Rattus norvegicus: one gene and its partners. The main gene of each other region encodes a partner of the protein of the gene in region 2 in a complex. Links are inferred from orthologs where the notes say so. Each region holds a gene or a part of one and is shown on either strand. Other genes may lie near its edges. The genes, in order: Zfp36, Cnot1, Cnot2, Cnot9, Nanos1 and Ddx6.

Evidence for each region.
Region 1: the proteins of Cnot1 (region 2) and Zfp36 are in contact, whole or in part, in a crystal structure (PDB 4J8S), measured with the Homo sapiens proteins. The link is inferred for Rattus norvegicus from reciprocal best matches to the Homo sapiens genes CNOT1 and ZFP36. Residues at the interface, in NP_057368.3 of Homo sapiens: Gln821, Glu835, Asp845, Ala848, Asn849, Phe852, Gln853, Tyr856, Asn894, Glu897, Glu898, Phe901, Gln904, Tyr905, Pro906, Glu909; in NP_003398.3 of Homo sapiens: Arg314, Arg315, Leu316, Pro317, Ile318, Phe319, Arg321, Ile322, Ser323, Val324, Ser325.
Region 3: the proteins of Cnot1 (region 2) and Cnot2 are in contact, whole or in part, in a crystal structure (PDB 5FU7), measured with the Homo sapiens proteins. The link is inferred for Rattus norvegicus from reciprocal best matches to the Homo sapiens genes CNOT1 and CNOT2. Residues at the interface, in NP_057368.3 of Homo sapiens: His1864, Ser1865, Ala1866, Ala1867, Arg1870, Asp1871, Gln1917, Pro1921, Ala1923, Pro1925, Ala2003, Tyr2036, Leu2039, Glu2040, Ser2043, Arg2045, Ile2048, Ala2049, Ala2053, His2054, Leu2079, Leu2084, Lys2086, Gln2089, Ile2090, Leu2091, Tyr2092, Lys2093, Gly2094, Leu2096; in NP_001186231.1 of Homo sapiens: Met350, Val351, Asp353, Gln354, Phe355, Gly356, Met357, Ile358, Gly359, Leu360, Leu361, Phe363, Ile364, Arg365, Gly372, Met373, Val374, Leu376, Ala377, Leu378, Gly379, Ser380, Asp381, Leu382, Leu385, Leu387, Asn388, Leu389, Ser391, Glu393.
Region 4: the proteins of Cnot1 (region 2) and Cnot9 are in contact, whole or in part, in a crystal structure (PDB 4CRU), measured with the Homo sapiens proteins. The link is inferred for Rattus norvegicus from reciprocal best matches to the Homo sapiens genes CNOT1 and CNOT9. Residues at the interface, in NP_057368.3 of Homo sapiens: Ile1415, Ala1416, Thr1418, Thr1419, Gln1422, Ile1423, Lys1426, Asp1427, Phe1428, Met1444, Asn1447, Leu1448, Gly1451, Met1452, Met1454, Ile1455, Arg1458, Glu1459, Tyr1548, Gln1549, Arg1552, Met1553, Pro1554, Gln1556, Ile1557, Leu1559, Val1564, Lys1567, Gln1568, Leu1569; in NP_005435.1 of Homo sapiens: Arg19, Glu20, Tyr23, Ile26, Asn27, Ser30, Ser31, Pro32, Arg35, Pro54, Met55, Trp57, His58, Ser59, Phe60, Gly61, Ile63, Ala64, Ala65, Leu67, Gln68, Val71, Asn72, Tyr74, Pro75, Ser76, Ile77, Asn78, Pro79, Thr81.
Region 5: the proteins of Cnot1 (region 2) and Nanos1 are in contact, whole or in part, in a crystal structure (PDB 4CQO), measured with the Homo sapiens proteins. The link is inferred for Rattus norvegicus from reciprocal best matches to the Homo sapiens genes CNOT1 and NANOS1. Residues at the interface, in NP_057368.3 of Homo sapiens: Ile2327, Ile2330, Lys2331, Trp2338, Glu2350, Phe2353, Gln2354, Val2356, Ala2357, Met2361; in NP_955631.1 of Homo sapiens: Phe40, Ser41, Ser42, Trp43, Tyr46, Leu47, Leu49, Thr51.
Region 6: the proteins of Cnot1 (region 2) and Ddx6 are in contact, whole or in part, in a crystal structure (PDB 4CRW), measured with the Homo sapiens proteins. The link is inferred for Rattus norvegicus from reciprocal best matches to the Homo sapiens genes CNOT1 and DDX6. Residues at the interface, in NP_057368.3 of Homo sapiens: Glu1097, Ala1100, Phe1101, Phe1103, Asn1104, Asn1105, Leu1106, Ser1107, Ser1109, Asn1110, Lys1114, Lys1137, Arg1138, Ile1141, Glu1142, Asn1144, Phe1145, Leu1148, Tyr1149; in NP_001244120.1 of Homo sapiens: Phe329, Ser330, Arg331, Leu332, Gln333, Ile334, Asn335, Gln336, Leu357, Gly358, Tyr359, Ser360, Leu384, Arg386, Asn387, Ala402.

Annotation. Positions count from the first base shown.
Region 1 is NC_086019.1:92,796,309-92,800,515, reverse strand, and holds Zfp36 (mRNA decay activator protein ZFP36), read left to right. Parts: upstream 1-1,407; 5' UTR 1,408-1,447; coding exon 1,448-1,489; intron 1,490-2,159; coding exon 2,160-3,098; 3' UTR 3,099-3,888; downstream 3,889-4,207. UniProt on the Homo sapiens protein: Zinc-finger RNA-binding protein that destabilizes several cytoplasmic AU-rich element (ARE)-containing mRNA transcripts by promoting their poly(A) tail removal or deadenylation, and hence provide a mechanism for attenuating protein synthesis.
Region 2 is NC_086037.1:9,316,794-9,320,293, reverse strand, and holds part of Cnot1 (CCR4-NOT transcription complex subunit 1), read right to left. Parts: intron 2,646-3,500; coding exon 2,415-2,645; intron 1,965-2,414; coding exon 1,824-1,964; intron 666-1,823; coding exon 486-665; intron 1-485.
Region 3 is NC_086025.1:54,105,161-54,109,460, forward strand, and holds the start of Cnot2 (CCR4-NOT transcription complex subunit 2), read right to left. Parts: upstream 2,801-4,300; 5' UTR 2,412-2,800; coding exon of another isoform or gene 2,407-2,411; intron 2,153-2,406; exon of another isoform or gene 1,502-2,152; intron 1-1,501. UniProt on the Homo sapiens protein: Component of the CCR4-NOT complex which is one of the major cellular mRNA deadenylases and is linked to various cellular processes including bulk mRNA degradation, miRNA-mediated repression, translational repression during translational initiation and general transcription regulation.
Region 4 is NC_086027.1:83,543,369-83,546,868, forward strand, and holds part of Cnot9 (CCR4-NOT transcription complex subunit 9), read left to right. Parts: intron 1-156; coding exon 157-336; intron 337-1,732; coding exon 1,733-1,848; intron 1,849-3,500. UniProt on the Homo sapiens protein: Component of the CCR4-NOT complex which is one of the major cellular mRNA deadenylases and is linked to various cellular processes including bulk mRNA degradation, miRNA-mediated repression, translational repression during translational initiation and general transcription regulation.
Region 5 is NC_086019.1:269,882,306-269,886,512, reverse strand, and holds the start of Nanos1 (nanos homolog 1), read right to left. Parts: upstream 2,801-4,207; 5' UTR 2,525-2,800; coding exon 1,733-2,524; 3' UTR 1-1,732. UniProt on the Homo sapiens protein: May act as a translational repressor which regulates translation of specific mRNAs by forming a complex with PUM2 that associates with the 3'-UTR of mRNA targets. Capable of interfering with the proadhesive and anti-invasive functions of E-cadherin.
Region 6 is NC_086026.1:53,845,749-53,849,248, reverse strand, and holds part of Ddx6 (probable ATP-dependent RNA helicase DDX6), read right to left. Parts: intron 3,043-3,500; coding exon 2,913-3,042; intron 2,004-2,912; coding exon 1,857-2,003; intron 577-1,856; coding exon 482-576; intron 1-481.

The DNA of each region.
Region 1 (4,207 bases), on a different chromosome or scaffold from region 2:
CAGTGAGAAGCCTGGCAGAATCTCCCTATCTCGATACAAGTGCGCAACGCACCGTGCTAGAACTTCCCGGCATTGTAATTACACTCCTGGCAATGATAACCCCCATACACAAGAACAGTTTTTCACTGGAGATATCTTTGAAATAACACTTTTTACTTGGGTGTGGCAGCTATTTCTGTAATCCTAACACTACTTGGGTGGTGGAGACTGGAGGATCGCGAGTTCCAGGCCTGCTAAGGAGACCCGACCTAAAAACAAAACCCTTACAGACCTCGAGAGAGTTTAAAGTTTGCTTAAAGACTGCTTGCACTACAAGAAACCCATTCAACGTTGAAGGTGGCCCATATTTTTAATAGAGGCGAGCTTCCTCCCTAATAAAAGACTCAAGCTGTTACAGCCTTGAGCTTCGGAAGCAAAACCTCTTAATTTAAAGTGCAGCTTGGGTAAATGGGCTCTGTCCAGCCTTGCTAGACTTGGAAGGGCGCTGCTGAGCGAAGTAAAGTTCTGAGCGGTCCCTACCTGAGCCAACTGTCTTACAGGTTCTGTGCCTTCAGGTTTTAGTTTTTATTTCAACTTCCCTTTTCATCCTTCTGTAACCGGCTTCCTCACTGAGATTTGTGTCCCAGGCCCCTCTCCCTATTGTCTCCCCACTCCGTATAGGTCAGAACCAGGATCACAACCATATGCCAGTCTTTTGTTTCATGTGTATTCCTGGCTGTCCTGGAACTCGCTCTGTAAACCAGGCTGGCCTCGAACTCACAGAGATCCCTCTGCTTCTTCCTCCCAAGTGCTGAGATTAAAAGTTTGAGCCAACATCTGGGGCCTTTTTACTTTTTAAGACAAGAGTCTCACTAAGTTACCTAGGCTGCCCTAGAACCCACAATACAGTCGAGCCAGGCCTTGAAGTCCCAGACTCCTGCCTCAGCCTCCCCAAGTGACTGGAATCACAATCCCAAACCAGCGGGTCCAGTGTGAATGTCTCTCACTGTCTCTTTGTTTTTCTCTCAGCTTCTGGCCATCTCTGTCTCTACCAGCTTGTTTCTCCCCGCCCCCGTCTGTCTCACACGCACACGCCCTCTCAGTCTCTGCCCTTGTCAATTGTCCCTAGAGCCCTGCCCCCACTTCTGCCCCAGTTCTCTTCCCGACTACCTTCAACCTCTGAAAACTAGTCAGACGCCCCACTCCCATCACCACCAAATCTGTGGTACACAGCCCTCCCCACTAACCTCGTGGGAGAGGGCTGTGGGAGAGCCAAGTTCAGGCACATTGTGCATGCTAACCAGCAGATGGGCGGAAGGGGCCTAGTACCAGGCCGGCCGGGCTACGCCGCGGGGGCGCGTCCGGGAAGCTCTCGTGGCCACGCCCCCGGGCCGCCCCATAAAAGGCGAAAGCTCCTGCGGCGGTCCCACAGCCTGACTTCTGCGAACCGACTGTCGGTCTCTTCTCCATGGCCATTCGCGCCACCATGGATCTCTCTGCCATCTACGAGGTGAGTACTGGTTAGACAGCACTCTCGGATCCTCGACGCACCAAACTTAGGCCCCGGACGCCTCCATTCCTTCTCAGACTAGCCCTAACTGGCTGGAAGTGAGAGAGGGAGCCCGTGAGCCCGGCGCCTCGGTCTAGATACCGGCGATCCCCTGGGGACGGAAAGCTGGCGCACTGCTGTCACTCGCGCAGGGCGGAAGCGGCCCCACACCTGTCTAGTACCCTTCGCTGTCCATGGCGCGGTTTGGCGGCCAGGCAGGTGTTGAAGTTGAGCGGGGAGTTGACCCGGTCAGAGTCCTAGAGAGATCTGGCCTCCTGGGTCAGCTTTGGCCGGCTTCTCTAAGTTGTGAAACGAGCGCCCGATGGGCGGTCTTATCCGGGGAGGTCTAAAGGCCCAAAATTGGCGAGCAGCCGTGGTGCTTTGATTTGGGGGTACCCTCTCTCGATCCATCGGGGATACTGGGCTCCCTAGATCCTTCTGGATTAGCTTCAGTCATTTGTTAACACCCAAACCTCTGTAGTCAGGTTCTCCCTGAAATTTGTGAGCCGGGTGGGGCTCAGGCTGAGAACCCACAAACCGGAATGACAAGCTCGTGAAGTGCTTTACCACAGGGGCGGGGCGTCGTCACCTTACCTTTTCTGGTGGCCTAACCGAACCCTATTCTCCTTAGAGCCTTATGTCGATGAGCCATGACCTGTCACCCGACCACGGAGGAACTGAGTCCTCCGGAGGACTTTGGAACATAAACTCATCGGACTCCATCCCATCTGGGGTCACCTCTCGCCTGACTGGCCGCTCCACTAGCCTGGTGGAGGGCCGAAGCTGCAGCTGGGTACCCCCACCCCCTGGTTTCGCACCCTTGGCTCCCCGCCCGGGCCCTGAGCTGTCACCCTCACCTACTTCGCCTACTGCAACTCCCACCACCTCCTCTCGATACAAGACTGAGCTCTGTCGGACCTACTCAGAGAGCGGGCGTTGTCGCTATGGGGCCAAGTGCCAGTTTGCCCACGGCCCGGGTGAACTGCGCCAAGCCAATCGCCACCCCAAGTACAAAACGGAACTCTGCCACAAGTTCTACCTCCAGGGCCGCTGCCCCTACGGCTCTCGATGCCACTTCATCCACAACCCTACCGAGGACCTGGCTCTCCCTGGCCAGCCCCATGTGCTCCGACAAAGCATCAGCTTCTCAGGCTTGCCTTCAGGCCGCAGAACCTCACCACCACCTCCAGGCTTCTCTGGCCCTTCCCTGTCCTCTTGCTCCTTTTCGCCTTCCAGCTCCCCACCACCGCCTGGGGACCTTCCACTTTCCCCTTCTGCCTTCTCTGCTGCCCCTGGGACCCCTGTGTCTCGAAGAGACCCTACCCCAGCCTGTTGTCCCTCCTGCCGAAGGTCTACTACCCCTAGCACCATCTGGGGGCCCTTGGGTGGTCTGGCTCGGAGCCCATCTGCACACTCTCTGGGATCCGACCCTGATGATTACGCCAGCAGCGGCAGCAGCCTGGGTGGGTCAGACTCGCCTGTCTTTGAGGCCGGGGTGTTTGGGCCTCCTCAGCCCCCTGCACCCCCAAGGCGTCTTCCCATCTTCAATCGCATCTCTGTCTCTGAGTGACAAGTGCCTGCCCAGTGTGGATCAGCTAGATCTCAAAGAAGAGGGAGGGAACTGCTCGTTGCTGTGGGGACCTGGGGGGACTCCTCTAAGTCCCTCCTCCTGGACATTCCAAGTTGCATTAACCCATTCCCCTGGTGCTGGGCTAGGGCAGGTCCCTAGTTTGCAAATTCAGTGTTTGGGTGGATCCGTTCCTAGGGTACCTGAGATGTAGCATGTTTGAGGGGTACAGTTGACAGTTGATCTTCCAGGTCTCAAGTCTTATGTTGTTTCTGAGATAGGGGATTATTACGGTACCCCAGGCTGGCTTTGAACTCAATATAATCCTGCCTTAGCCTTTTCCAAGTTCTGGGGTTACAGGTATGCACCAGCCCCTCGGAAACTCTGGTCTCCTGGAATCTTAAGTGCTGTGAAGAGCCGGCTCCCACAATACTATCCTAATTTTTACTAGACCCCGAAGTTCAGTGTCCGGTGGTTGTAGCCTCTCCTGAGAATCCTGGTGCTCAAATTTCCCTCCCAAAGCAAATAGCCAAAGCCATTGCCAAATCCCTTTTCCCCCACGCCCCTGCCCCAACCAATGGACCCTTTATTTATGACGACTTTATTTATTGTAATAAGATTTTATAGTATTTATATATATTGGGTCGTCTACTCCGTTTTTCTTTTTGTAATGTTAAAACTGATACTGTATTAAGTATATACTATAATATATTAAGTAATATATTGTTACCGTACAAGTCTATTTTTGTGGGTTTTTTTGGAATTTTTAAATAAAATCTTGAGTGTGAACTGTGATGAAATTTGTTTTTTTCCGTGGTCCACAGCCTTGTGATGGTGGGTAAACTGACCTCCAGACCTTCCTGTGAGCACTGCTGCCGGGGGGGGGGGGGGGGGGGGGGGGCGCTTACCTGGCAGGAAGTGACGTTAGCCCGGTTGTTCACCTGAGGAGGCGTGGCGGGATGAGGTCACCCAAAAGGAACAAGGAGAGCTAGTTCTCTTGGCTAAGGGGTGCTCCAGGCCTGTCCCTCCGGCTCTTGACCCAGCTCGGGCAGGGACAGGATGTTTCCGTCCCCACAGGGCCAAGGAAGGAGGGAGGGGTGGGGCGGGGCGGC
Region 2 (3,500 bases):
GAGTTTTCTGTAAGACCATTTTCTTAAAAACCAGGATAGAGACCTGAGTTTTCTGTAAGACCCTTAAAAAAAAAACAACAAACAAACAAACAAACAAACAAAAAAACCAGGATAGAGACCCGAGAACTTATTGCACCTGGACATACCCACGCATACACGCACACAGACATGACAAGTCAACAAGATGGCATGCCACAAAAATACTGAACATTGTTATATGTAACAGTAAAACTCTGAAGCTATACATGAAGATTGAAAAGTGACTTTAAAAAACTGTCCTCTGAGCGCACACACATGTATGAGTGTGCAGACACTCACACAAATATAATTTTAAAATGTTTATGGAACCCAGTAGTTAACATTGCAAACAAAAATCTAAGGCACTTTTCATGGACACATCGAACATAGACATAAAGAGAAACATCAAATCTTCCTACAAGATCAACTTTAAAGCTAATTACTAAAGGAAATATAAGAACTCTTACTTTAATGTTTCTGTAGGTTTCATTCAGAACCATCTTGTTAAATTCAGGATTCTTCAATGTATCAAGAAAGTTTGAATACAAGCTATGAAAGTTTGGCTCAATACTGACTCTTTTCATAACTAGATACTGGGAAACCCAAGGCATAAATTCTTCCTTCACAGTTTCTTTAAGCTCTTCAACCTAGCCAATAAACACGACAAAGTAGTAGAGAATTAGTATTAAAAAAAAATGTAAACAACAGATAAAATGAGGTCTGGGTTCTCATAGCACACAGCATCTGGCTTCTTACAAAACATGGTATTAAACTGTTAGGCTTGGCCTTTCCCATGACACTTCAACAACAAACAACCGTCAGATTTAACAGTGGGTGTGGGCTCTTCTTTTAAAGGCAAGGTTTCCTATGCAATAGCACAGGCTGACCTCGCCCAAACTCTTCAAAACTTTCCCTCAGCCTCACAAGTGCTGCTATTACAAACTTACACCAAAGCCCAGCAGGTTAACGTTACAGATCAAACCTACTTACCTTTTTTTTGTTTGAGGCAGGGTTTGTCTATGTAGCCCTAGGTGGCTTGGAACTCACAATATAGACCAGGCTAGCCTCAAACTCACAGAAATCCTCTTGCCTCTATTTCCCTGTGTCAGCAAGCTCAGCCTGAAACCCACTGTCATGTCAAAGCAGTACCTTAGCAGGGAAGCATCATTCCTTATGCTTTCTAAACCTCTACTTCATGTGCTCACAGGGCCTAATAAGCAATTATAGTAGATTCTGGAAGAACATAAACAAAACTTTCTACCAAAGTTAGGCATGGTGGTGCATACCTTTAAATCCCAGCACTTGGGAGGCAGACAGAATCTAGAGGCCATCCAAGTTAACATAGTGAGTTCCAGGTTGGCCAAGGCTAGTTAATGAGACCTTGTTTCAAAGAAAGGAAGGAAGGAAAAAAATAACACTTCCCTTCTCAGGAGAGCATGACATTATTTCAAAAGGTTACAAGTCACTGCAAAACAATACTACAACAAAGGATACTGTTTAATTCCTACAAAAAAAAAAAAAAAACCTTAAAAAATGTTTTTAAAGTCATGTGCCACCACACCCAGCTAAAATCATACCTTTTAACCTGAGTTTATTGGCTTTAGTTTCTAGACAGGCTCTGCAGTGATAGCTACGTGATAGAAAAGCCACCAGCTCCTTATGCTTACTTCAGCCTCCTCAGGAGCTTGGACTATAGACAGAACAAACCAACTGACTTAACTGAATTCAAAACAAAACAAAAACCAATCCCTCCATCCATCAAGGAAAAGAAGAGAGCATTTCATAAGCTATTACATCATGCTTACCTTTTGTGTCATATTTGACTGTGAGAGATTGTTGAAAATAAAAGCAATTTTCTCTTGAATATTCTCTGGGGGCTCCACAATCCTCTCAGTTTGATCTGTGGCCACAAGCAGTGTATCGATATTCGTTGTGTTTATGGAAGGCTGGAAGTAATAATGCACTGTTAGAGCAGCTGAGGTGTGACTGGGAAATCCTAGAAGACAGAAGTGCTGCAAGTGCTCAGAAGAGGAGAGCACTGGACTCCAAGCCCAGCTTGTGTTCAATTCCTGGCACCCAGATGCCAGAAGGAGAGGACTAACTCCTAAGACCTCTGACCTCCAGATACGCATCATAGGACACATGCACACAAAATAAACAAGATAGAAAGGTAATAAAACATTTAAAAAAGATTACAGAGATTCCATTAGCATGAAAAATGAACAGGGTATATAACTACACTGGTAAGATCATTAAATCCATCCCTGAATTATTACATTACATAGTGCTCTCTGGGACAATGCTGACCTTTATGCTTCCAGTAAAATAACACACAAATTCCCTACTACCTATTCACACCAACAGATCCTGGGAAAGCAAAAGGACCTGCTACTTACTGGCACATCTTTCTTAAAGCTGACTCCTGTTGGCTTGGTGACTGTAACCGTTTTAGCAACAGTGGTGGTTGTTGAGGTGGTCACCATTGTGTTAACCTGACCCGCAAGAGGGGCTTTTGCTGGAACCTGGGCCTGGGCCTGGGCCTGAGCCAGTGCAATACTTCCAGGGGTAGTGATAGAGCCCTGCATTTTCACAGGAGGATCTCGAGACTGTTGTCCATATTCGATGTACTACATGGGCACAGAGGGAAACATACAAAGGCATCTTAATAGAAATCAAGAATTCTGTTTTATGAAAGGGTAAGAATAATTTTAGTTTTCTATTAATCCTTCCCTGACATGGGCAATACTTAAGAGGATACTGAAGACCAATAAAGATAAACTAGTATGTTAAAGTCCTTTAAACTAGCCTGCAAAAAGAAAAGAAAAGAAAAGAAAAGAAAAAGGCCAGTGCAGTCTCAGGGTGAGCTGGAGAAATGGCCCAGCGGTTAAGAGCACTGACTGCTCTTCCATATGGCGGCTCACAATCATCTGTAATGGATCTGATGCCCTGGTGTGTCTGAAGACAACAAATGTGTACTCACACACATTAAGTAAGTAAATCTTTGGGGGAAAAAAGCAGTCTCAGATATCTGTAAATAAAATTCCTTAAACCCTTTAAAAATTTCTAAATTTATGTCAAGCTACATTTGATTGAACCTCAGCATAAACATACTACACTGTGTTTTGTATATCAGTAAGACTCTTAATATAAAACAGAAGAACTATAACTGCAAGCAAATTTAAGCAGAACCAACAACAGTGACTGACACTTTACTTTCAGAGCTCAGTCGGAAGACTGGCATGGGGTTCACCTAATGTTACATCAATCATCCCTACCTAAACAGTAAAACCACAACATGTAATCTCTTAATAACTAAAATACTGTCTGTCTGTCTGTCTGTCTTCCTTCTGGGAGGGTGGGAGTGTGTGTGTGTGTGGGGGGGGGGTGGTGGAGCAAACTATCCCTATGTAGCCCTAATCTGACTTGATTTCAAGAGATTTGCTTACCCCTGTCCTCCCAGTGATGGGATTAAGGTGTGAAGC
Region 3 (4,300 bases), on a different chromosome or scaffold from region 2:
GAAATGAGCAAGGGTTGGGGATTAAGCTCAATGGTAGAGAGCTTGCCTAGCAAGCGCAAGGCCCTGGGTTCAGTCCCCAGCTCCGGGGGGAAAAAAAAAAAAAAAGAAAAGAAATGAGCAGAGAAGGATTACTGGTATTTCTAATTTACCAGCAGTATAAAATATTTATTTTTGAAGTTTTAATAAATCTAAGGCATCTCTGAAAAACCAAAAAGCACCCACCTTTATATAGGGAAAATAAAGGTGATTATTATTTTAGGGAGCATATCATTTGGAGCTTGATTTCATTTTCAAATCAAAGAGTTCTCAGATGGCTGGGATAAAAACCACTCACAGACATCAATCTGCTTCATTTTCCACCAAACAAATTTATTTTAAAGCACTTTAGAAACAGAATTTTCCAAAGGCTGCATTTACTGATGTGCAGATGACTCTCAGCCTCTAGCATCTGGTAGGGTTACAGATATCTCTAGACTGTATCTTAGAACCCAAGTGCTCTGTCAACACATGCACTACCTTAACTTCTGTATATTAGTAAAGCATTAACAGGAATGCAAAGAAAAAAAAGCTAAATACAGTTTTTATTTCTGGTCTAGAGTTATAAAATACTTAGAAAAAAGTCACTTTTTAAAAAATGAAAAGGTTCCATTTTAAAAATAAGGATCCTGCAAAGTCAGTAAAAGTGAAAAGTAAAAGAAATTGTGCATTTTGAACTTTTCCTTTAGCTTTAAGATAACAACAGACTAGATAGGAGAGCATAAGGATCCTTGTTAATGATCTTGGATCATTAAGAAAACATATCAAAGACACAAAACCTCAACACAGACAATATGTGAATGTAGACAGTCATTTCAGTGTACTGGATTTTTAAACAACACTTCCAACTTGGAATAAAATACCTTATAAAACTACAAAGGTGACTTTTGAGAAGGAACTGTGTTGAATATGCCAAGCATTTCCAAACATAAACTGTTGTGAAAGTTTAAATTTCTATCCCACTCGCTCCATATAAATTACCCTCACTTATTTGTTTGGAAAGGGAAATCTATAAGAACACAATTCCATCTCCTTAAAATTTCTCACTATGGAGAATAATAGAAAAATGTGTTTTTGAACATCAAATGTCTCCCTTGTGAACAGATTTGGTTAACTCAGTATCATACTTTCTACCATTCGCCAAGAATCTAAGGATCATATTGCTATATTTTATTAGGAACTGTCCAGATGATTAAAGAGAAATTCTTGGCTAAGAATTTAATGAAAATGAAGCAAAACACTCTTAACACTTGTTTTTCCAGATGCTGAAAAGTGGAGATGTCCCCTAGGATTTCCAAGAAAGTGTGTAAGATATTTTTGGAAGTAATAACATACTAATGGGGTCTAAAGTAAATGCAAAAAACAAAACCTTAGAAATAATTTTACGAAAAGAAAAGTACAATTAGATTCCCCTAAGGGCCTACAGATAACAAGGATTCTAAGCTTTCTCCTAAGCAAACAGTACCTCAATTAAGAACTATCGGGTTTCTTTTAACCCAACTTATTTCTTCTATGAAACTTTGAAGTGAAGACCTAAAACAGCAAAAGGTAGAGAGGGCCCGGCGGAAGTAGAAACCAGGGCTTGCAACTTCAGAGTGTCTCCGGTTCCTCCTCCGCTGCCCCAGGACCATCCGAACTCAAGTCTACACCACAAGAGAAGCTTCCCTCTCCGGGTACGGTGGCAGAAGCAGCATCTTAAGTTGCTCTCCTCCCTCTACCTTGCAAGGCCCTTCGGTATCTCAGGGCCTGGAGGCTCCTGAGGCCCGTTAGCCAGTGCGATGTCCCCATCTTACACAAACAAAAACACACAAGTGGCGGAGGATGCGCGTGTATTGCCAGAATGGGAAGATTCAAGGACCAGCAGCTGCTGGGAACGTGGCAGAGCCGTCTAAAGCGGCCGGGGCTCCTCGGATGCTGCCGCTGCCGCTGCCGCCTTCTCTCCTACCCCAGGAAGCAGCACGGCGGCAGTGGCTGCTCCGCGCCGGCGGGAGCCGGGGAAGCGGAGTACCGGGAAAGCCCCGTCGCGGGCAGCCAGGACCGGGCCTAGGCTCCGGAGCTGCAGCGGCTGCGGCGGCGGCGGCGGCGGCGGCGGCGGCCCGAGCACGGCGACGCTTTACGTCTTGTCCACCCCGCCACACACCCCCTCCCTCCTCCAGCGCCGCCACCCCCCTCCCCGCCCGCTCCGCTCTCCCTCTCTCGATTGGAGCCGAGACAAAAGCAACGGGAAGCGGCGGGCCGGGACGCTACCCGCGGACCCCGGGCGCGACCGGACCAGCCCCGAGGCATTCCCCCGCCTTGAGGGGGCCCTCAATCCGCCTCCCCCGCCGCGCGCCCCGCTGCCAGACTTCCGAAAATTTGCCAAAAACTCACCGCATGAATTTTCTTGTCCCGCGGATCCAAGATGGCGACGTATCCACCGCGGAGGCTGCTGGGAGCAAGACCTTTACCCTCTGACCCCCGCCGTGACCCCCGTCGCTCCGACTTCGCTCTAAGGCGGCGGCAGAAGGTGGCGAGCGATGCTCGCCTCAAGGACAGAGTGTTTCCCGAACGCCGGTCGACGGTGAGAAGCACGGCGCTCCTCAGGAGCCTTCCCGGGCTTCCGCCAGGCGTCCCGCCACCTCCCGCGGAGGTGCGGCGCTGCCTTGTGGCGATTACGGAAAGTGGGGCCTCCGAGGCCTCGCCGGGCTTCCCAAGCCAGACCGCCACACCAGGAGCTGCGGCCTGGGGTCCGAGAGCGGCCTCGGGGGCGGGGGCGGGGAAATGCTGAGGCAGCGTGGGTCCGCCCACCTGGGGACGCACAGCGTGTTTGTGTTTGTGTTTTCGTCGGACACCCCGCCCCCGAGCACCTCCTGCAGTCTGTCCCCGGGCTAGTGCTACTACTACCTGCCGGCGCAGTGGCAGCGGTACTCAGGTCCAATCGTCGTTCCGCAGCCTGCGCTTCCCGGGTGCGCACCCCCAAACACCCGCCGCACGCCGCCGGCACCCCCCTGAGCAGTGAGTTCCCCTCCGCTGGAACCTGGGCGTCTGATCGCCGCCCCCCCTCTTCCTTTTCATATGTTTTTTCGGTTCAAACCTGGTGAGAGGAAGTAAGGGGAACGTGTTTTTAAAGCACCACGGGGAGGGCTTAATCTAACCGTCCGATGTTTATGGCATTTTACTTAGTTCCCGCCCGGCGCGCCCTTTGTAAACCTTAGTGATCAGCTGGCTCATCCACTAAACCTTTTGAAAATACGGTGGCTGTGGTGGGAACTTCCAGGGTTTTGTTCTCCAAAACAGTGCAATCCCTGAAAGTAAAATTCGTTTTCATTGCTGTAATACTCTTACTTTACTCCTTTGAACATCCATAAACTTCGTGTTTTATGGTTACTAAACTTGCGAAAAAAGCCTCTGTGTGTTTTGAAGTTACTAGTTTCATAACGCATTGCTATTCCTGTTTGAGTGGTAGAACTTATTAATGTGGATTACTACTAATTTGAAGTAAATAAAATTTCTGCTGTTTTATTTTTTTAAAATTACCTTCTTCCAGCCCCATCCCCCACCCCAATCAACCAATATATATCACTTCGGTTTATCATAGTTGAAGGCCAGAAAAAGGAAGATAAAACCCAAGATGAAATTAAAAGTACTTTTGTCAAGGTTTTGAAGGTATTTTGGTTTATCAGCAAATATGCATAACAGTAGATATGTAAATTTGTTTAAATATCAACAGGAACTGGTATAGCCAAATAGAAAAGGTTTATTTTGCTGGGTTTTTCATTAAATACTCCATTTTACCCTTTTGTGTTTTGTTTTGGTTTTACTTCAGGGAAATTCAAGAAGGAACTACACAGTCCTATATGGCCCCTCCCCCAAGAGTGCTTTCCTATCTCTTCTGCTTTCTCTTCCTCTCAAGTTAACATCTACTGCTGTAAGGTAGTGTGTTCAAAGACTGAGTATACCTCTAGGCACGTACAGTTCTTGTGTATGAATGCATGTAATACAGAGCACCTTAATCTGGCTACTAATTATTTGGAGCCCTTTATGTGTATATAGTAGCATTATCACATTAAATAACATTAAATATTTGAATTCATTACTCTTCTTACCTATATTAACTTAACACATTTTTGTCCAAGTTTTAAAAATTGCTTTCAGTGGAGAAGGTCTGAGTTTTACTATGATTGGGTTTTACTAGGTGAGATAACATTTTCTTAATTAATGTGTGGAGCAAATTAATATGTGGAACTGGAATGCTAGGAAAGCATTCAATGAATGACCTAACATT
Region 4 (3,500 bases), on a different chromosome or scaffold from region 2:
TAATGGTCAAACAGGTTGAGTCACTTCGCATCAAATATATGTGTTTAATGAGGCTCCTATAATTTACAAATATACATGTTTATAAAGCACTACTAAAGGATAAGACTTGATTAAGTTGTACTAAGTTGACATTTGTTTTCTTGTTTTCCCCTAAAGCCTGTGCCTACTGCACTGGCCCAGGTGGACAGAGAGAAGATCTATCAGTGGATCAATGAACTGTCCAGTCCTGAAACAAGGGAAAATGCTTTGCTGGAGCTGAGCAAGAAGCGAGAGTCTGTCCCTGACCTTGCGCCCATGCTGTGGCATTCATTCGGTACTATTGCAGCACTTTTACAGGTGGGTCTGTAGCCACAGTAGGAATTCAGTCATGTCTGCCACACTGGGTTTTTTTTTTTTTTTTTTTTTTTTTTTTTTTTTTTTTTTTTTTTTTTTTGGTTCTTTTTTTCGGAGCTGGGGACCGAACCCAGGACCTTGTGCTTCCTAGGTAAGCGCTCTACCACTGAGCTAAATCCCCAGCCCCCCACTGGGGTTTTTCTATTCTTGTGCTCAAATGATTTTTGAAGACTTGAGAATGGTTGTTTGAATATTAACATTTGTAGGATCCTATTTTTAAGAAGTCAGAGGTATTTGTTAAATGCATTTGGGGGTTCTCCCTAGGAGATTGAATTTAGTTGATCTGAGAGGCAGACCTTAAATGTGTGTTTAACAGGTGAAATCTAAGAGCTACATTGAGAAATGGCTTTTAGAAATACATTGGGGTAGATCTGTTATAGCTGGGAAGGATATAGAAATAGTATGAGAACCGTAGATAATGGTCTAAGGGAGAAAATTGTTGAGATTAAGGTGTGGTAGCTATAGGATTAAAGATGTGTTTGTGTGTGCATTAAAGAATAAATAGATGCATCTGGTAAGGTGGTTCATTTACCTGCTGCCAAGCCAGACAATTTGAGTTTAATCTCTGGGTACAAGGAGAGATATGAATCTAAAGTTTCTCCTCAAATTATTAATAATCTTTCAAGTTTGTTTGGTAAATTCATATTGCTATTCCTAACACATGTAGCCAAGAATCTATTAGTGTTATGAAAGGATTTGCAGCTAAAATAAACAGAACTATATTCAACATGGGTCTCATTATAAAGTAGAATGCAAGGGGGGTGGATGGGGAGGGGAATACCCTTATAGAAGAAGGGGAAAGGGAGGGGACTGGGGGCTTATCCAGGAAACCATGAAAGGGAATAACATTTGAAATGTAAATTAAAAAATATCCAATAAAAGAAAGCTTTTGAATAGGAAAAAAAATGAAGTAGAATGCAACTTCTTAAAATTACAAAAATAAGGGTCCCTCAATTGGCTATAGGTTCTGGAGAGATGGTTCAATGCAATGGTAAAAAACACTGGCTACTCTTCCACAAGTCCTGGACTTTGATTCCCAGCGCCTACATTGTGGTTTACAACCAACTTTAACTCTAGTTCCTAGGAATCTGATACCCTCTCTCTGGTCACAGACACACATGCAGGCAAAACACCAACATACATGAAGACTAACTGCAAAGTGTAGGGGGAGTATGGGAGACCCAGTATTCCTAGAGACACATAGGAAAAGGTCTTGCCTATTTAGTTTAGCACGCTCGTAATGGAAAAATAATTTCATTTCTGCAGGAATTAAAGATACTTTGCTGTGACACTGGTAATTTGTGATTAATTGCTGTCTGGGATTCTTTGCATTTTTCAGGAAATTGTAAATATTTATCCATCTATCAACCCTCCAACCTTGACAGCACACCAATCTAACAGGGTTTGCAATGCTCTAGCATTGCTACAGTGTGTGGCCTCACACCCAGAGACCAGGTAAATGCTTTGTGAGCGTGTTGGTAAATTAATGGGGGTGGGTGAGTATTTTATAGGAACTTATATATCTTTGCTAAATGATCAGAGAAAGAAGACACAATGTAATGTATGGATTTCAGTCTTCAGAACTTTTTTTTTTTTTTTTTTTTTTTTACTCATTCATGGCAATGACTTTTTTTACAGTTTTTAGTGTGTTGGATATTTTTAATATACTTTCTATATGTCTCTTGGCTTTTTTTGTTTGTAATGTTTTATCAGTTGGCTTTGGAGTTGGTAGGTATTAGTGGGGAAGGTTGCTTGATTTCTTTTGTTTTCTTTTTCTTTTTGGGGGGGGGGGGTGTTTGAGACAGGGTTCTCTGTGAAGCCCTGGCTGTCATGTATCTTACTCTGTAGACCAGGCTGGCTTTGAACTCACAGAGATACTCCTGCCGCTGCTGCGGCCCCACCCCCTACCCCAACACTGTCTTTGGCCTTAAACTGTTAATCCTTCCACCTCTGTCTCCTGCCTGCTGGGATTATAGGCATGTACCACCATGCATACCCACCTTTTTCTTGTTTTTCTGACTGTTGACATTAAGTCTGATAGCTGTTTTTAGTTTCTGGTTACAGATTTGAATTAAATATGACATGTTTTAAAATGAAGCAAAATACAATTCCATACCTTTAACAACATAGAACAGTTTGCTAATTTAGTGATTTGCTATGTTCTGAGAGGAAAGATTTTGCTTAACTACCTTAAAGAATATTTTCTGTCAGTGATTTAACCCCAAATATAAAACTAGAGCTTTAATCCTCCCATGGTTGTCTATCTTTTTTTTTTTTTTTTTTTTTGGTTCTTTTTTTTCGGAGCTGGGGACCGAACCCAGGGCCTTGCGCTTCCTAGCCCATGGTTCTCTATACTTAGAATTCCAGTGCTCAGGAGGCTAAGATGGGAGGCCCTGTCCCAAAAAAACAAAATTAAGTGATTATTTTATGTTTACTTAAATCAGTCATCTTATGGCAGCAAAGTTTTAAAGAACAAAGGTTATATCACAGGAAAGATAATATATGATAGGTACATGGGCACTTCTCTTTTCTAAATCATGGTAGGCACTGGGTCACAATTGTTTCATGGTACATATAATAGGAACTCGGTAAATATTTTTAAGCACTCTTTCTCACAAAATTCACATTTGTGAAAATTTTTTCTAAAGCTTTTTTGTTTATGTTTGTTTGAAACAAGGTGTCACTATATAGCTCTGGCTGTCTGGGGACCCTAGCTTGTCTCAAATTCACTAATATCCACCCGCCTGTGCTTCCCCAGAGCTGGGATTAAAGGTGTGTACCATTACACCTTTCTTAAGTCCTTCTTAGTTTAGAATTCCAGGCAGCCTCTGTGATATAAATGGGAATTGACATGCAAGGTAAAACTTTTTTGCTATATTGTCATATGTGAAAAGGTAGAGAAAATCCTGTTTAAGAATCTGCTTTGAGACCAATGAGATGGGTCATCGAGTAAAGAAGCTTGCCTCTAGGGCTGGAGAGATGGCTCAGCGGTTAAGAGCACCCGACTGCTCTTCCAGAGGTCATGAGTTCAATTCCCAGGGACCACATGGTGGCTCACAACCATCTGTAAAGAGATCCGATGCCCTCTTCTGGTGTATCTGAAGACA
Region 5 (4,207 bases), on a different chromosome or scaffold from region 2:
TAGTTCCGGCAAAATGCCAAAAATTCAAAGTTGCTATTAGGTACACATGATAGTTGTTCAGCTCATGTACTTATATACTGGCACCACACACACACACACACACACCTTGGGAAACATCTGGTGGGATTACAGCAATCCTGGCTTGATACCTACTGCTTTTGATATCGAGAATACCTTTTTGAACAGGCAGATCAGTTAGAGGATGTGAATTTATGTTGACTTGAAAAACTTCACCCCAAAACAAACTGTATATTTTCTAGCAAAACAAGGAACATGGTTTTATTAAATTTAGGCCCAGGCCCATTGACTGTGGGGCTATAACAGGGATAGATTTCTTCCTTGCTAAGAATGTCCTCCCTTTTACCAGTAGGTAGTATTTTCACATGACTTCTTTTATACAGAAAGTAAGTTTGCTGTGAAGTTGCTGCTTAATATGAAAGGCAGTCTAGCCTGACTTGTATTCCTAGCTAAATTTGACTATTGCAAGCTTTAATCTTTTGACTGGTATTTGCAGAGAGTGGTGTTGGTGCATGTCTGAATTTATGTTAACTCACCCTCACCTTTTCTGTCTAGATGGTAAGTGGCTTTGTGCCACATCCCAGCACTCAGGATGATAGATTTACAGGAGAACAAAGGGTTAGGAACTTTTGCATGAAGATCTTTTAGTATTCTGGAAGCAGACTAGGATCTCTCAGTAATAGTGGAACCACCAAGAGGGGAGATTATGATACTTGTATCCAACTGCAATTGTTACAGCATCGAAGTATTTATTCTGGTACACCCTCTGTAAATTGGAAGGCAAACAGCCCAGAGTAGAACTTTCTAGAACTCGAGTTATTGCATTATAGTTCCCCATTTTCTATTTAGGAACCCTGAACTTGAGCAATCAAGGTGGGTTAACACTGCTCTAAAAGGTTTCCTCCTTTCTGAGGAGGGCACGCCTTAGCATCAGAATTGGACCTTTGGGGTGGTGCATAGAGAAAATGCTAAGTAGGAGTTACAGGGGAGATTAATGGATTCATAATACTGTCACTGTATAAATACACGTCTCTTAAACAGCACCATTTCCAAATATGTACACGATATGATTAAGCCTTGGCACAGTTAATTTTAAGGGTTGGAAGGACTACTTGCTAATTCAGTAGAATAGCTGATACATAAAATGATAAGGAACTGTATTCTACCTGCTACAGATTGTGCCTTTAAGCCTCCCATCTAGGACAGAAACAAGCCACGAGGAGGAACATCCTCTCAATATTGGGAAGTGTACTAAGTTGCTTTACCTGCAATTAGAATGAGAAACTAAAATAAATTAATTGCATCAAACAATAAAATAGTCATTTTGCCGACATTCCATACAATTGTTTTACACTCAGTTCAGAGGCTATTAAAAATACTCTAGACCTAATAAAGTGCCTCCATTCATAAAACGAAAACATCCAAGATCAGAGACAATTCATACGGATGCGCACCTAAAATAGGCTGACGTATACAGTAAACAGCGCCTCATTCACCGCACTTCAGCCAGTGGAACAACCGCTCAGCCCTCACCACTCTGGATGCGCGTTTTAGAAACTAGGGACAAAATCCAATATTTCAACGTCAGAGACCTATCACTCCACAAGAAAGTGCTATGCCCCTGCGGCTTCCATAAAACCAAGAGGACTTCCCAAGTTGAGCCACGGGAGAAGAGTCCAGGTTTCAGGTGTACGCAGCTCGATGCAGCCTGCTTCTAGCGCAGCTTCTTGCTTGGCAGGTTGTCTCTGGTGCTGCGCGGCGGCGGGCGGACGGTGGGCGGTGGCACTTTGGAGAGTGGGCAATACTTGATGGTGTGTGCGTTGTCGCCACTGGCGCCGCACAGGGGGCACGTGTAGCGGCGCAGGACCGGGCACAGCACCCGGCCGTCCGGGCCCTTAAGGATGTGTGTGGTGTAGAGCGCCACCGCCTCCTTGTTGTTCCGGCAGAACACACACACCTGAAGCTCCGGTTTCAGCAGACGCGCGGCGGTCGCCCCGGAGGTCGCGTGCAGACGAGGCTCGGCTGCCCACGCAGGGCTCGGCTCTTCGCGCGGCGTCACTTCGGCCGTGGAGGCGGCGGAGGCAGAGGGCGCGCAGCCCAGCAGCACCGCGGCGGCGCGCCCTGCAAATGGGTTCAGCTCAGCGAAGCGCTCCTCCAGCAGCCCGGCCTCGGCTGGGCCGGCGCACAGCTCTAGCGCGCGCAGTTCCAACGCGCCGCCCAGGTAGCGGCCCCCGGCCTCTGGCTCATCGCCGTCGTCGTCTTCATCGTCCTCCGGCGGCCCCAGTGTGGGCCCGGCCGGCGTGGGCCCGGGCCCCTCGTGCGGGGAGCCGCGGTCGCTAGCCCTGGTGATGAGCGTGGCTAGCCCCAGGTAGTCGTTCCAGTAGCTGAAGGGCTGCGGGTGCACCGGGCCCGAGGCGCTCACGTAGCGGGCGCTGGGCACGAGCGCCATAGGCGCGGGGGCGCGGGCGCGGCGGGGCGAGCGTGGCGCCCAAGGGAAAGCCTCCATGGGCCGGCAGCGGGCCGCGCGCCTCCCCGCCGCCGCCGGCAAGGGCCGGACGGAAGGGACGCAGGAGCCTGCCCGCCGGCCTGCCGCGGGGTGGGGCACCCTTGCTTCCTTTTATCGCTCCCGCTTTCTCCCGTGCCCCTCCTCGCTGTCTCGGCCCTGCCCCCTGCGATCCTCCGCCCGGGCCACTGCGCCCGCGCCCCCGGACGGAGGCGGAGCGGAGGCGGGCGCGCGCTCTTCTCCAGCCCCGCGCGCTTCCTGCGCCCCGCGCGCTGCGCCCACCTCACCAGCTGCGGGGCGCCTGGCATCCTGCGAGGGGGCGGGTGAGGCGCCGCCTCGGGCCCTGGCGCTCAATGGCTACCGACCTGACTCCGCGGGCGCCGGTCGGGACGCTGATTGGTGGCTATCCGGGAAGGGGCGGGCGGTGCTTGCGGGGAGGGGATGGCTGTGCAGAAAGGGGCTGGATGAGGCGGTGGCTGGTGCTTGATTTTGCACGAGCGTGGAGACCTCAACTGGTGACCCAGCTTGTTTGTTTGTTTTTGTTTTTGTTTTTGTTTTCCTGCGGGATATTGAGGATGCGGATGGCACAGATCGCGATGAGGCCACTGGGATGCGTGCATCCACTTGCAGCTTTGGCTGGACCGGGTTTATGGTCTGAAGCCACCACGTTCCCCTTGCTTTTTATCATCATCAGCAAGAAAAGCTGTGAGAGGCAAGGCTAGGCGCTAATTCCCAACGCTAGCCCAGCTAGAGACCCAGTGACTTCAGTTGGCATAGCGCTCTGGCGCTCTTTCCACAGGGTGAAGTCCTCCTATAAACCTTGAGGCTCAGGGAGGAAGCTCATGATTTTTATTGTTTATATGGTAGCGAATAGTGGAGGATCACAGCAAGTCCAACAGGTAGGTGTTCAGAAACTGGGGCCGTAGAGGTGACAACTTGGACCAGAAATTCTTACTATGTGTCAGTTTGTGTGAAATTCCTCTTCCGGGTGCTTATATGGAAATCCAGTGTCTGTGGAACTTGAAAAACAGCATATTCAGTGCTTTGAAACAGGTAAAATTTTCTCTTTTTGGTAAAACCCTGGAAAATAAAGGACTTATTAGGAGATTAAGAGGTAGTCTTGTCCTTTCTAGAAAAGAGGCAACTTAAATGATAAGCACCAACAACCTCAAAAAGCAATTTGAAACTAGGAAAAGGCGCTGAGGGCTCTTCAGGAATGTGACCTAGAATGAGGAACAGAAAATGCCTTCTCTTTGTTTGCTCGGCAGAGGAGAGAGCTGATTTTGCACAAGGTGATAGGACCTCTGATGCTATCAGCTTTCCTTAGGTGGTAAACCACATTCACATGTTTTGGCTTAGATTTTTTTTACAAACATACTTTTTTTTTAAGATTTATTTATTTATTATATAGAGGGCATCAGATCCCATTACAGATGGTTGTGAGCCACCATGTGGTTGCTGGGATTTGAACTCAGGACCTTGGGAAGAGCAGTCAGTGCTCTTAACCACTGAGCCATCTCTCCAGCCGCACAAACCTACTTTTAATAAGGGTCCTTTAACACATCAAGCTCCCTTATAGCCGACCAAAGGTAAGGGAGGAAGAAAGGTTAATAGGACAAAGAGGGTCATGGGCCTGTTCAGAAGTAATTCTTTGGGGGTGATTTCAATCTTTGGGATATCAGCAGT
Region 6 (3,500 bases), on a different chromosome or scaffold from region 2:
CGCACACCGAAGCACCAATGCTGCCAGGCTAACTGTACACAGCACTGCTACATCCCAGACACACATGAGTAGTTTTTGTTCATTTTTAAGGCAGAGTCTCACTGTGTAGTTCTGATTGGCCTGAAACTTGCAGCTCTCAAACTCAAGACAGACATCTGACTCTACATCCCAGGTAAAACATTTGGCTTCAGATCAGTAATTTTTTAAAAGGCATTGATACTAGGTTATAAACTAAAGAAGTAACAAATTTCATAAAAAACACAAAGAACCAACCAATATTAGGAAGCAAATGCAAAACAAAGGGTTAAGAGAGATCCCTTACAAGCTTTTAAAATGTAACACTAAGTAGAAAGATTTAAACTGAGCTTGGCTTGGTTATTTGTTATCATACATATCCAGTTCAAGGTTTGCTTTATTCAGTGAAAATTATAAGCAAAGCTAGAGGAGTACTGAAGAGTCCTTTCAAATGAACAAACATTACCTCATCCAATACTATCATCTGGACATGATCAACCTTTGCTACTCCTTTCTTGATAAGATCCAGGATTCTGCCAGGGGTAGCAATCACCACATGCACTAAAAAGATTCCCAGAGAAAAAAAAACTTCAGAAAACATATACATTCTTGTTAATTTAATCTAGGATAAAGAAACACATTAATTTTATAAGACGTATTTAGTATCATAAATACTGTTTATAGAGACCCAAATTAATACAAAAAGGCACAAAGATGAACTGTGGGCCGTGTATTTCTGTCTCTTCTCACAAGAGCTCCACAATACTTGTCTCGTCTCTTCAGTGAGTGGGCCAGCTTCCCAAACCACAAACTCCAACTGAGGGACTCACAACTCCCATCTTACAGCCATCTGCAAGAAGTAACAGCCAGAACGCAGGGGAGACGTGTGTTCAATCTGGGCCAGGCTGCTCAGACTGGTTTTTTTCTTTTTTTTCAGAGCTGGGGACCCAACCCAGGCCTAGCAAGCGCTCTACCACTGAGCTAAATCCCCAACCCCACAGACTGTTTTAAGGGGGAAAAAAAGACTGATCACTAAAAACAAAATTGTGCAAGTTAAAAAATAGAGCTCAGGGGCTGGAGAGATGGCTCAGTGGTTAAGGGCACTGACTGTTCTTCCAGAGGTCCTGAGTTCAATCCCCAGCAACCACATGGTGGCTCATAACCATCTGTAATGAGATTGGATGCCCTCTTCTGGTGTGTCTGAAGACAGCTACAGTGTATTTATATATAATAAATAAATACATCTTTAAAAACAAAAAACAAAACAAAACCATATTTTAGTGCCAGACAGTGGTAGCACATGCTTTTTATCCCAGCACTTGGGAGGCAGAGGCAGGTTCCCAAAGCCAGCCTGGTTCACAAAGCAAATTCTAAGACAGCCAGGGCTACTCAGAGAAACCCAGTCTCAAAAAACAAAACAAACAAAACAGACCAAAGTTTTAATTATTTCCTAAAAGGGAACCCTTGGAGACTGGAGAAAAGACTTAATGGTTAAGAGCTCATCTCGTAGGGGCTGGGGATTTAGCTCAGTGGTAGAGCGCTTACCTAGGAAGCGCAAGGCCCTGGGTTAGGTCCCCAGCTCCGGAAAAAAAAAAAAAAAAAGAGCTCATCTCGTGCTGCTCCTGCAGAGAATTCAAGTTCAATCCCCAGCACCTACGTTGTGGTGCACAGCTGCCTATAACTCTAGCCTCAGGGGATCCACACCCTCACCCAGGCACTTGCACACAGGTGTGCATAACCACATACCCCACCTCTACATAATTACAAATAAGTCTGAAAAAGAAATAAGGAGGCATCTGTAGCTACAATCAGACAGCCTTGTGGCCTTAATAATCTCCTACCTGTATCGTCAAGCCTCATTATGTCATCCCGTAAATTGGTTCCTCCAGTGGTCGCCATCACTTTGGCCCCTCCCATGTGTTTGCTGACCTGGATGCAAATTTGACTGACCTGTAGAGCAAGTTCTCTAGTGGGAACAATCACCATTGCTAAAAAATATCAAAGAACAAAGGAGTGAGGGAAGAGAGAACATGCTATCTTTTAGAAGTTCAAGAAGCTATAAAAACAGTTTCACTGAGGCAGTTCACCTAACACACGGGCATAACAGACATAACACACCAGTCTTAAAGGATGCATGTGCTTGACAGAAGGGTCACTACTCTCTCAGAGTCACTAAATACTAAGCAGTCAACGCGTGCTGCTTAGGTTCTATGCTCATCAATGAGAGGAGAGAGATTTATAAATGGAAAACTGGAAAATTTAAGAAAAACTTTAGAGGCAAAACCTTAATTGTATGAACTGACTCCAGATACAACTATAGAACTTTGCTTCTTTTCTACTCTCTAAGCTGTTAATTTTTCCCCCAACTCTAGCTGTGGCTTACATGGGGGCCAGGCCCTTGCCAGTGACAGGCCGCTTCCCCATAGTCCTGATTTACTCTGCCTCTGGAGTTCTCCTGGTAGGCTCGGCTGACCAAGACATTTACTACACAGAGGAGGAACTCTGAGCTCTTAAAATTTGATAAACTCAAGGGTTTACAGACAGAAGCATTTACTGTTTCTACAAAGAGCTCTGCTTACACAGTTCCCACAAGGGAATTCAGGTGCATAGGCTGGAGGTAAGCAGTGACTCATTTAGCCTCTCATCAGTTTGGCTTTAAAGAAAGCTTACTTTGCTTATCTCACACGAACCCTTTTTCAACTGTTTTATCAATCATAAAAAAAAAGTACTCTGAAGTTGAGAAATTCCCTTTAAAAGCTGGGGAAAAATTTTTTAAACAATTAAGCCAAATATAGCAAGAAGACAGTAGATTAAATGAATTCTGACCAAGATTAAAACCTACAAAGCTCCAAGTACAGACAGTCTTCCCTGCAGCCCCTCCCCTCTATTCAGCTAACCTTGAATATTGTCCTTCTTCAGGTCCAGCCGTTCAAGTAAGGGGATGAGGTAGGCACCGCTTTTGCCTGTTCCATTTTTTGCTCTAGCTAAGATATCCCTACCAGATAAAGCAATGGGAATGCTCTCCTCCTAAAAGACAAGGTGATGCAAAACTACATGTAAATACAATGTTACCAGATTCTTTTCCAAGTTACACCGAAGAATACCACCCACCTTGGTACTCCTTTGAAGTGTAGTATGTATGTATCTTGCATGAATGGCAAAGACCCAAGTGGATTAGCAGGACCAGTAAGCATTAATACCATTTTGAACTAAAAGTTTGTTAAAACTGTTAACAGAAAAACATTAGCTGAATAGCAGCGTAACAGAAAAGTTAGTGAGCTGGGTGTTGGTGTGGTGATACACATCTTTAACCAGGTAAATTAGAGTTCAAGGCCAGCCTGGTCTTGGTAGCCAGGACTACTAGAGAAAAGACCCTGCCTCAAATAAATAAAAGTGCATGTACTAGAGAAAAGAATCTCAAAGGGTTAAACAGTCCTCAAACAAAGACATTTTTGTTAGAAATAGAAAATGGCCACATAGTAAAT